Diceros bicornis minor: one gene and its partners. The main gene of each other region encodes a partner of the protein of the gene in region 3 in a complex. Links are inferred from orthologs where the notes say so. Each region holds a gene or a part of one and is shown on either strand. Other genes may lie near its edges.

Region 1 (3,746 bases), on a different chromosome or scaffold from region 3:
ATTTCATAACTTGGGCCATCAGGTATGGCTTTGTTGGTCCTTTGTTCTCTGGGCAGGGGCTTGGGAAGGGCAGGGTGTATGTGTCTCACTGGTTTGGGGAAAAGCCCCCCACTCCCTCCTCCTATGCTCACCACACAGTCTGCGTTCTGGGTCAGCCTCTTGAGTGTGAGCAGCGAGTTGTAGGGCTGGACCACCACGTCGCTCATCTCATCCTGGTTGGGAAACACTGAGTACGTCTGCACCAGCTTCTTGGGGTACCTGGGGGTGAGGAAGAGCGAAAGGGAAGGTGGCACAGTGAATTGGAAGGCCCCCCATCACTGCCCATCTCTGCCTTCTCTAGGGTCTACAGGGGCCATTCCTTTCCAAGTGCCACCAAGCTCTTATGCAAAAGGGGTGAGGGCAGAACTGAGTCTTCAGAGCCCAGGAGCCAAAAAGGATAAGCCTAAAGATTCACTCTGTAGGTCTCCTCCTTCCCTAGGCAAACCTCTCTCCCCAGAGTTATTGCTTCCAAGATGTTCCCTGGGTAGCCAGGCTCTGATCCTACCTATGACTCAAAGGGGTAGTGGCAGACCTTCCAATCCAAGAGAAAAAAGTAACCAAAAGGAAAAACATTACCTAGAGAACTAGGGCTAATGCCTTCTCCCCAAACACAGGCTTACCTATCATTCAGTCGTTCGAGGAGGTAGGAGCCCAGGCCAGAACCTGTCCCCCCAGCAATGGAGTGACACAGCACGAAGCCCTGCATAGAGAGGGACAGAGAGGCAGTCTCCAGGGATCTGGGGAAGATGCTTCAGGCTTGTCTCCTTCCCACTCCCAACACACTCATGTTTCAAGGCTTCCTGTGTATCCATCCAGGCTGAGGCTCCTTGGGAAGGAAGGCTCATGCCTAAGGAGCTGATGCCATCCAGACTAGGATCTCCTTGATGACAACTGTACCTTATTTACCCCGATATCTCACATCTGATGCTCAATAAATGAGTTTGGAATCGAATTGCCCCCATCACACCACCCATTCAGCCTACTACCTGACCTTCCCCAGCACTTTTCAGCCTTTTTTTTTTCTTCAGTGGGCAGAACCTCACCTCTAGGCTGTCACTTCCATCTGCTTCTCGGTCTATGATGTCAAAAATGTCTTCATGGATTTTCTCACCCTGTATAGAGACATGGGGAGGGAGGGTCAGGATGAAGTCTCTGGAGAGCATCTCTTTTTAGCACCAAGAACGCTACCCTGGGGCACTGCTGCTGTCCTCAAGCAGAGCCTCAGCAGGAGCCCTCAAACCAGAAATGCTACTTTGTAAATGATTTGCACAAAGTTTGCATAAACTCCCTGGCTATCCCTCTTGTTAGGGTATCCCTTTGTCTCTTATTTATTGTCAGTCTGGTCTGGTCAAATCCCCAGGCTGCTTGAGCCTGCCTTGTCCAGGGGAGGGAACATCAAGGGTCTCTGAGATGGCCATCTGGATACCTGGGAGAATCCGCTGGCCCAGTTGTTGCCAGCCCCTCCTCCATGCTCTGACAGGTAGATGTTCTCTGGGTTGTAGAGCTTGGCATAGGGGGAGTTGAGGATGGAGTGGATCACCCGGGGCTCCAGGTCCAGCAGCACGGCCCTGGGGATGTAGTGCTCATCGTCTGCCTGTCATGGGGAGTCCAGGAGGGGGCCCAATCAGCTAAGGCCAAGGCCCCCGTCCTCCCAGCTCTGGCTCCTGCCTGCCCTCCCTCCTCAAGCCAGCCGCCCTGGCTTCTCTGCCCAGCAGGTTTCCCAGCACCAGGCCGCTGCCTTCCCTTTAGGACCCCTGGCCAAGTCGCTGGGGGCACCTGGTAGAAAAAGACGTCCTTGCGGTCAGTGCCCTCGGTGGCAAACTCCTCCACGATGCCCTCGGGGCTGATACCATGCTCGGCGCACAGTTGTTTCCAGAACTCGAACCCAACTGGGGGATGGGAAGAGATGCCTGAGTCAGGGTTAGGCTGTCACACTCAGAGGCTGCACCCAAGACGCCTGGTCTGCGAGCCGTCACAGCCCAGGGCTGGAGGCGCGGCTCTCAGTCTGGGGCTCATTCATCATGCGCAGTTACGGCAGGGGGTTCATGGAAGGGAAAGGGGGACTGGAGGATGCCAAGCACTTGGGTGGGACCCGAAGAGGCAGAACCGGAGACTGGAGGGGCCCGCCGCTCGCTTGCTCACTCTGGTTGCCGCACTGGCCCAGCTGCAGGGTGATGATCTCCCGGGGCATCGCTCTCCAGACGTGGGCGCGCCAGCCTGGCCCGGCGGGAGTCACGGCCCAGACGAACGCCTAGCAGCCGGGTGCGCAAGACGTGGGGAGAGCGCGCGCTCTTCGCCTTTTGACGCGGGTGCTCGGTCTGCGCGTGTGCAGTGCGGGCCTCCCCGCGACCGGGGGGCCGCGGAGCCCAACCTGGGCATCATTTCCCCCACAGCAGTTGCAGCTGGAATTCGGCACAGGCGCAGAGGAAGGCCACGCCCCCTCCTGCCCGCCCACCCCAGCTCCGCGCCTGCGCGGTGAGACTTGCCGGGGTTGCAGAGTAGCGACCCGGGTGTGGGGGAGGGGAGGGGAGCGGGGGTGGGGGGGGAGAGAGGCCCAGGTGTATGGAGTCAGTGGCGCTATATATATAGGTGAGCTACTCCGCTGGCTCTGCTGGAGCCAATTTTCTTCTTTTAAATTTCTATTTTTAAATTAAATATATCTAACAAAATTTACCATTTTAACCATTTTTTTTAATAAAGGATGCTTAACTTTTTTTTTTAAGTAAGAGTGGCCCTGAGCTAACATCTGTTGCCAATCTTCCTCTTTTTCTTTTTTCTCCCCAAAGCCTTAGCACATAGTTGTATAACCTAGTTGTAGGTCCTTCCAGTTCTTCTCTGTAGGACGCAGCCACAGCATGGCTTGATGAGTGGTGAGTAGGTCCGTGCCCAGGATCCCAAGCGGGGAACCCCGGCCGACCAAGCAGAATGTGCAAACTTAACAGCTATGCCACCGCTATGCCATCAGGCTGGGCCCCATTTTAACCATTTTTAAGTGTACAGTTCTGTGGCATTAGGTACATATGCATTGTTCTGCCACCGTTACCACCATTCATCTCCAGAACTTTGTCATTTTCCCAAACTGAAACTCTGTACCTATTAAACAGTAACTGCCCCCCATCACCATTCTACTTTGTTTCCATGAATCTGACTACTCTAGGTGCCTTCCATATACTGTGGAATCATACAGTATACATTATTTGTCCTTTTGTGTCTGGCTTATTTCACTTAGCATAAAGTCCTCAAGGTTACTCCATGTTGTAGCATGTGTCAGAATTTCATTCCTTTTTAAGGCTGTATAATATTCCCTTGTATGTATATACCACATTTTGTTTACCCTTATTCGTCTATTGATGGACCATGAGGTTGCTTCCACCAGTTGGCTATTGTGAATAATGCTGCTATGAACATCTATGTACAAAGATCTGTTTGAGTCCCTGCTTTAAATTCTTCTGGGTATATACCCAGAAGTAGAATTGCTAGATCATATGGTAATTCTATGTTTAATTTTTTGAGGAATTGTTGTATCATTTTCCACAGCAGCTGCACCATTTTACATTTCTAACAGCAATGCACAAGGGTTCCAATTTCTCCATATGCTTGTCAACACTTATTACTTTCTGGGTGGTTGTTGTTGTTGTTTTAATAATAGCCATCTTAATGAGTGTGAAGTAGTATCTCATTGTGGTTTCTGTTTTATTTTAAATTAC
Region 2 (3,746 bases), on a different chromosome or scaffold from region 3:
CACCTATCTTCCCATGTCCTTGGAGAATCACCTGCAGATGAGTCTCCCTCTGTTAAGAAGAGTTTCTTCCTAGGGTAGAGAGAGATGGAACTATCAGAAGGAATATACTCATGTCTAAAGTCTTGCCAGATCTGGGCTGACTTCCCTTATGCTCTACGTGGCCACCTGAGGTAGCACCAACTTCAGGACAGCAAGGCAAAACAGCATGAAGGAGAGAGACCTTGCAAAAACTCCATTTCTGGGTGACTTTCAGGGCAGCCCCGGCAAGCAGCAGAGAATAGAAAGTACTGCCTGCTCCTCCTCCACCTCCCCCAAATCTGATCCCATTTTGCTCCCGTCACCAATGCTGCATAGTGAACCATATGGGAGACCTGGAGCTCGAAAGGATCTACAAGGAGGTCACCATCCTGCTGAAGGCAACAAAAAGCCTCTGTCCAGCGGGTCGCAGCTGATCTCCCCCAGTACCTCCGCAGTCCTTCCCGAGGCCCCTACGTCCGCCCCGGCCCCTCAGACTCCACAACTACCAATTCCCACCCCAGACGAAAATCAAGTACTGAATACTGGGTCTTTGTTTTCCCTCACAGCAGAAGTAACCGCTCGGCAAATATTCAGGAACTACTGACGGGAAACCTGGCGCATTGGGAGAAGTTGGTTTTGGCTCCCGAAGCGAGGGCCAGGTGGGCTCGGGGAGAGTCACTGAGGTCGTGGAGAGAGGAAGTCCGAGGGGGCAGTAGTAATGTGTCTCCTGAGGACGAGCTTGGGTGCTGGCCAGGGCTCCGAGCGCTGCGGGGTTCGCGAGCGCGGAGCTCAGCTCAAGGAACGGCGCGTGCGAGGTTCCGGCCTCTTTGTCTTCGCTCCCTCCGGCCAGGGCACTCTCGGAGCCATCGTGCAGTCCCTCCAGAGGCCTCCGACGGGGCTAAAGCGCCCTGAGAGCACCCTCCGGCTCACCCCTGGGAGCGTCTCCCTCTCGGGGTGTCCCTCAACCCGCTCACATCTCTGCCCCGGGGCCAGCCTCACCAACTCGGGGTCCGGCCCCAGCTCGGGCTCTACCAGCCTCCCAGTCCGGCTCCCAAACCGGAAGTCCGAGCGAGCGACTCGGGCGCTGACGGCGCATGCGCAAGGTCAGACACAGCGACTCCTCTCGTGTGGAGAGCCGGCGGCAGCGAGCGAGTGGGCCTAGCCGAGCGCCGCACACTTCCGGGACCCGGCGCGCCGACCTCTTCCCCGCTTCCCCTCCGCACCTCCAGCAGCAATTGTCTTGGCGGGTAGATTCGGGGGGAACCGCCCGTCCCAGGGGCTTGTGCGCGGGTCGGGAAGGGGCACTCGCCTCCGAGGTCTCCTGGAGAGGTGCTGGAGGAGGGGGCGGCGGATATAGTGACTCGAGGTCCGCCGTCGGAATGATCCACGAACTGCTCTTGGCTCTGAGCGGGTACCCAGGGTCCATTTTCACCTGGAACAAGCGTAATGGCCTCCAGGTACTGTCCGGCTCAGAGCGCGGGAACTAGCTAGTGCAGAATGGGTGGACCTGCCAATGCTTGGGGAGGAGTCTGAGGGACCGAGGGGGCGGGGCTTGCGGGGGCTGAGGCATTCGGGGGGCGTGTCCCTGGGCAGGTAACTGTAGGGCAGTGCCTGAGGAGCCTACGGGTGTTGTAGACACCCTGAGAAGGCTGGGCCTAGGCTGGGGAACGGAGGGCAGACCTCGACGGGCCATGCCTTCCGGGAGAAGGAGGGAGCCCGGGACCCGGCCTGAGGTGGAGGTGTCTGAAAGAGAGTGCCTGGGGAACTGGACGTAAAATGAGGGAGGCAGCTTCTCCCATTTTCACGTTTGCACTCTGTTTTAAACTGAGTTTTGAAAGCTAGTCCACATACATAGCGCTTAACACACAATAAAGGTTCAGCAAATTTCGTTGAATGAAAGAATAAATGAGAGTGTTTCCCTCATTACTCCTTTTCCAGGAAATTTCTGCACTAGGAGAATTTGGAAGGGGGCCTTCGTGTAACTAGGAATGTATGAAGAGGAAGGGCTATGTACCATATGCATTATCTCATTTAATCTTCACAATCACCTATCTCCATTTCACAGATTAACTCCCAGTGTCCGTGTAGCTAGTAATTTGCGAGCTTGATCTTGAACCCAGGTCTGTCTGGCTCCAGTATCTGAACTACTCTTTTCTACTTCTGCTTTCAGCAATGTTATCTAATTCTCAATAATTTAATAACTTAGGTATTGTTAGCCCCAGTTTACAAATGAGCAAACTGAAGCTCAGAGAACTTTATGGTAGCTAGTCCTAGTAATGGCAAGATTTGAATCTAGCTCTGTCTGATCACAAAATCATACCTTTTCCTATGAGAATTGGCAGTATAGGCTGTGGAAGAGCAGAAAAATTACATTCTTAGTCTATAAAATCTACCAATCAAATAGATTCCTCTGGTTATTGTTTATTTTCCCCCGCAAAACTAGCATAGTGCCAAGCAGATAGGAGGAAAATGTTCAGGAAGTATTTGTGGGTGCTTGAGTGTCTGAAGTAAAAGGAAATATCAGAGTATAGGAAAGATAGCTGCTTTCCTTTCTTATAAAAAGGTCTCAATCAGATATTTTCCTCCTCAAGATCTCAGCTTTAAAGTCACCTCCTCAGAAAAGCTTTCTCTGACCACCTCTTTGAGTATCCTCCCCATATTGCCATTATTCTCTATCACAGAAACTTGTTTGTTTCCCTTATAGGACTTAGCACAATTCATATTATTTATTGTTGTTACTTGTTTATAGTCTTTTTCTCACATAGATTGCTCACGGGGGCAAAGACCACAGTGGTCTTTACTGATCTACCCAGAGCACCCAGCACAATTTCTGCCACGTAGTAGGTGTTCAGATATTTGTAGAAGAAAAGAAGATCACCAAAACCAGCAAATGTTACATACTTTCTGCAGAGAAGTATTTTTCACATTCGAATAAAGGGAAAAGTTGTCAGGAATGCCCAATGTTGATCAAAATCATCTTATTGTAATACTGAATATGTATACACATTAAGCTAAGTATAAAATCAAACATATAGCTCTTAAATAACTATAAAAAGAAATATTTTTACAAAGTAAACAGAACTACCCAATCGATAACTTCAAATTAACATTAACCTAATGCAGAGTTTCTCAACCTTGGCAGTGTTGACATTTTGGACTGGATAATTAATTCTTTGTTGTGGGGGGGGGTGGGCCTGTGCGTTGTAGGATGTTCCGCAGCATCTGTGGTCTCTACTCACCAGATGCCAGTAGTACTCCCCAAGTTGTGGCAACCCAAAAATATCTCCAGACATTACTGAATGACCCTTGGGGGCAGAATTGCCCCTGATTGAGAACCACTGATCTGATTAACATATATTATTGTTTTGCTGAAACTAAATCGCCAACAATTGAGTTTAATAAAGACCTTGCTACAGATCTGGTTCTGTATTTTCTATTTTTTTTTTCCCTTTTTCTCCCCAAAGCCCCAGTAGATAGTTGTATGTCATAGCTGCACATCCTTCCAGTTGCTGTATGTGGGACGCCGCCTCAGCATGGCTGGACAAGCGGAGCGTCAGTGCGCGCCTGGGATCCGCACCCAGGCCCCCAGTAGCAGAGCGCGCACGCTTAACTGCTAAGCCACGGGCCGGCCCCTGTATTTTCTATTTTGACTTCAGTAACACTAATGTAGAGAGTGCTTGTTAATATAAGTAGCTTGTACCAAATGGTATCAGTAACATTAAAGTATT
Region 3 (3,746 bases):
ACAGGTGAACTCGGGCACCCTGGCAAAAGAAACGGCCTCATGGGGACACCATTCCGCTGCTGACAAAAAACATCAAACTCCCTGTCGACAACTTCATTTTAAGTGACGCGATAGAGTTTTGAGTGTTTCTTTTACAACCCCAAATCCTACCCTGTTAAGAACTATATTTTCACACCAGCTAGGCGGTGGGGAGGCCAGCCTCTCCGGCGCGTACCGTGCAGGCAGGGGGCGCGGCGGCAGGTCCTCCCCACCTCCACCCCAGGGGTGGTCGGGAAGGGGAGGATGGGAGCCACGGGAAGGAGGCAGGGTGGGGTTGGGGGGCGAGAAGGGCCTCTCTCACCTGGGCTTCTCGGGCTCCCCGGCAACCTGCGTGAGCACGTCCTGGAGATAAAGGTGCCGCTGGACGTCCCCTTCCTGTAGAACACGCGCCGTGGGCTGAACCGGCACCTCGCAGCCCCGCCCAGCCGCAGCCCCGCCCCTCAGCCAGAGGCCCCGCTCCACCAGGCCCCACCCCCCACCCAGGCCCCGCCCCTCACCCGGAGGCGCCGCTCCACCAGGCTCCGCCCACGACCAAGGCCTCGCCCCTCAGCCAGAAGCCCCACTCCACCAAGCCCAGCCCCTGAGCCTCAGGGCCCGCCCCACGACCCAGGCCTCGCCCCTCAGCCGGAGGCTCCGCTCCACCAGACTCCGCCCACGGCCCAGGCCCCACCCCCGAGCCTCAGGCCCCGCCGCCGGACAACGGCCCTCGGCGTCGGCTCACGCACCTCGAAGAACTCATGCTCGCGCGGGAAGCGCACCAGGCGCGCCATGAAGCGGAAAGGCGCGGCCCCGGCCTTGGGGTTCCGCTCCACGGGCAGCGGCTCGGCCGCCCCAGGTGCCCCGGCGAGGCGGGCGTGCAGCGCGGGGGGCAGCTGCATCGCCGTGCGCGGCGGCGGCGCCACACTCTGTCAGCCACCGTCTGTGGGCCGGCCGGGGCGGGGCCGGACGTGACGTCGCGCCACTTCCGCCGCGGGCGCGGGCTGTGCGCGCGCGGGTCCTGCGGTGAGTCGGAGCCGGGGTCGGGGGGCCTGAGCCCGGGGGACTAGGGGTGGCGGGGTCCGAGTCTGGAGGGTAGGGGCCGGGGGGTGGCATGAGCCCTCTGCCCACCGGACGCCCGGCCGGCGCGGGGAGAGCTGGCCTCCGCGCTGTGGCGCCGCCGGCTCGGATCCGGAGCGGGTCTCTGTTCGCCGTCCGCCCCTGTGCGCGGCTGGCGCCCTCCCCCCGTCCCCGGTGCCGTCCCCCGTCCGCACCCCTTCTCTCCCGGCTGACGGGCTGCGGCCGCCTCTGGGCCAGGTCTCTGTGGAGACCTGAGTTGTCTCGTAACCCTTCGGTGGCTTCCCACTGCCCCGGTCCAGGGCCCGCCAGGCCCTGCTGTTTCCCGCCTGCCCATTGTCCCCCATCCCACCCCATCCTCTCCCGGCGCGGACAGGGCGCGGCGTGTAGAAGTAAGGTGGTCCCGCCGCTCCGGAGCCTGCAGCCCGGCAGGAGAGGCGGACGTCTAACTCGTGACACAGTTACCGAGTTAAATGGTGACGGGTGACGCGGAAGGGACGCAAGGATGCTTGAGCCCTATTGCGGAGGACGGCCGCAGGCCCGCTCGCCACTCCTCACGCCGAGTGGTTCCCGAGTGGTTCCGCACCGAGCAGACGCCGGGCGCGCATACGTGCAGTGGCAAGGGAAATGGGTTGCTGTTTCTCTAAGAAGTTAAAAATGTAACTTAAAAATATAATTAGAAACTTGCACTCACTTCATTTTGGAAGTAAAGGTTTGTGGCTACGTCCTCCACCGGTCATTTGCGTGCCTAAGAAGAGCTCTAGACAGACGCAGACTGTTTTTCATCTCTTATGCATTGATTTTCTGTCTCTGAGACAGCATTAGGCTCCTGACATTTTTCACACGTTTTAAAGTAATGTTCTTCAAGCCAGTTTGTCCAATTAGCTTTGAGCTCTTCAACAAAGAGTGCTTGTCACCTCCCTTTGTGTTTCAGTCAGATGTTCACAGGTGTGTGTGCCTGACTCGTGCATAGGTGTCGCTGCCTCCTTGCCCCTGCGCTGCCTCACACTCGTGTGAGGAGGAGATGGGTTCTGCTCAGTCGCCGAAGTCTGCGTCTGTCCACTTGTGGTGACTAACACAAGTCAAGAGCATCAAAAAGATCACGTGAGCCGCTGCAATTAAATGTTCCTCACAGCTGTTTTTAGGGGGTACGCTGTTGGCATTTTTGGTGGGACGTGTCTGTTGCTGTTTAACTTCCCTGGGCTCCTGCCCACTAAATACCAAGAGCACCCTTCCAGTCACTGTGACAACCAAAAGTTACCCCTATGCGTTTCCAGAGGTCCCCTGAGGGGAGGTGCTCCCTGCAGGGCAGAGCCAGAAATCTTGCAGGAATTGTTCCCCAAATCCACAGAGAACAGTGGACTCCTCCGAGGATTAATACTTGTGATGTGGGGTATCTGTGGTTTTATTTCTACTACAGTTGTGAAGATTCATGAAGATAGTTTTTAAGTAAATATTCACTTAGGTGATCTCTCTTCAGAAGAGCTCTCTCCGCCTGCTTGTATCTGGTGGAGGGGTGTTTTGTGTCCATGGTAAACGCAGCAGCATCCTTGCCAAGGTGGTCCTCAGGCCAGCCCTTACAGGACAACCCGCAGTCCTTAGGAAGCCTTTTGGAATGTGGGTCAATCTGGTTGCTCTTAGGTATGAAGAGGCTGGCAGTGGGAGAGTTCGTGTTTTCTTTTCTGTTTTCTGTGGTTTGTAGGGCCTCATTCAGGGCCCTGGGTGACTAGTAGGATAACCGATGGTTTCCGATGCTCTCAGTGATTCAGATCCAGTTTTCCTTTTGTAAAACCAACCATTTGTCAGGCAACAATGAACACTTGCAGTGGTTGGCTTTACGTGGTAATAGCAGCAGCACTTGTTCCTGCTTTTCTTTTGTGTGTGTGTGTGTGTGGAGGACCAGCCCTGAGCTAACATCTGCCAATTCTCCTTTTTTTTTTTGCTGAGGAAGACCGGCCCTGGGCTAACATCCGTGCCCACGTTCCTCTACTATATATGGGACACCACCACAGCATGGCTTAACAAGCGGTGCGTCGGTGCACGCCTGGGATTGAACCGGCAAATCCCGGGCCGCCGCAGCGGGGCGCGTGCACTTAACCGCTTGCGCCACCGGGCCGGCCCCCCCTGCTTTTCTAATAACACTAGTGCAAGAACTCAGTACACGCAGGCCCTGTGGTGCTTTATAAGACGATCAGTCTCCACAGCAGCTCTGTGGCTGGCGTTTACTACTCACCCCTTTCAGAGGAAGCTTTGAGAGGGCAAGCTCCTTGCCCAGGGCCCTCTGGCCTGGAAGTGGCCAAGTCAGGGTTCAGTCTGTCTGGGGTTCCACAGCCTGTGCCCTGCTGTGCCTGCGCCTGTAACTGTAGTTACTAGGAACACCTCCTGATTCACAAAGGACGTGCGCTAGTGACTTAATACACCAGCTGGTCCTTACTGCTGTGCTTTCCTCTTTGGAGACACCCTGCATCTGGCCAGTATTTGCTGTTTGTATACTGTGACACTGTGATGTTTACGTATGGAGAACTAGTTCTCCATCACACGAGGTTAGACTCTCACTTTCTCAGTGTAGAATTACAAATTAATGTGCATTGTTAGCATGTTGTGAGGGTGTGTGCTGAGTCTTCTCCACTTGATGTTTTCTTTAACTCATGGCT

The links. The genes of interacting proteins can lie anywhere in the genome.
Region 1: TUBGCP2 (region 3) and tubulin gamma-2 chain share a complex: the UniProt entries of both Homo sapiens proteins name them as parts of the gamma-tubulin ring complex. The link is inferred for Diceros bicornis minor from reciprocal best matches to the Homo sapiens genes TUBGCP2 and TUBG2.
Region 2: TUBGCP2 (region 3) and TUBGCP4 share a complex: the UniProt entries of both Homo sapiens proteins name them as parts of the gamma-tubulin ring complex. The link is inferred for Diceros bicornis minor from reciprocal best matches to the Homo sapiens genes TUBGCP2 and TUBGCP4.

The regions. Positions count from the first base shown.
Region 1 is NC_080757.1:41,714,606-41,718,351, reverse strand, and holds the start of tubulin gamma-2 chain, read right to left. Parts: upstream 2,417-3,746; 5' UTR 2,231-2,416; coding exon 2,182-2,230; intron 1,929-2,181; coding exon 1,816-1,928; intron 1,634-1,815; coding exon 1,466-1,633; intron 1,152-1,465; coding exon 1,083-1,151; intron 740-1,082; coding exon 660-739; intron 259-659; coding exon 132-258; intron 1-131. UniProt on the Homo sapiens protein: Tubulin is the major constituent of microtubules, protein filaments consisting of alpha- and beta-tubulin heterodimers. Gamma-tubulin is a key component of the gamma-tubulin ring complex (gTuRC) which mediates microtubule nucleation.
Region 2 is NC_080744.1:40,808,240-40,811,985, forward strand, and holds the start of TUBGCP4 (gamma-tubulin complex component 4), read left to right. Parts: upstream 1-1,028; 5' UTR 1,029-1,112; coding exon 1,113-1,475; intron 1,476-3,746. UniProt on the Homo sapiens protein: Component of the gamma-tubulin ring complex (gTuRC) which mediates microtubule nucleation.
Region 3 is NC_080745.1:95,367,498-95,371,243, reverse strand, and holds the start of TUBGCP2 (gamma-tubulin complex component 2), read left to right. Parts: upstream 1-973; 5' UTR 974-1,041; intron 1,042-3,746. Other genes in the region: ZNF511 (zinc finger protein 511), read right to left, coding at 1-19, 341-414, 765-917. UniProt on the Homo sapiens protein: Component of the gamma-tubulin ring complex (gTuRC) which mediates microtubule nucleation.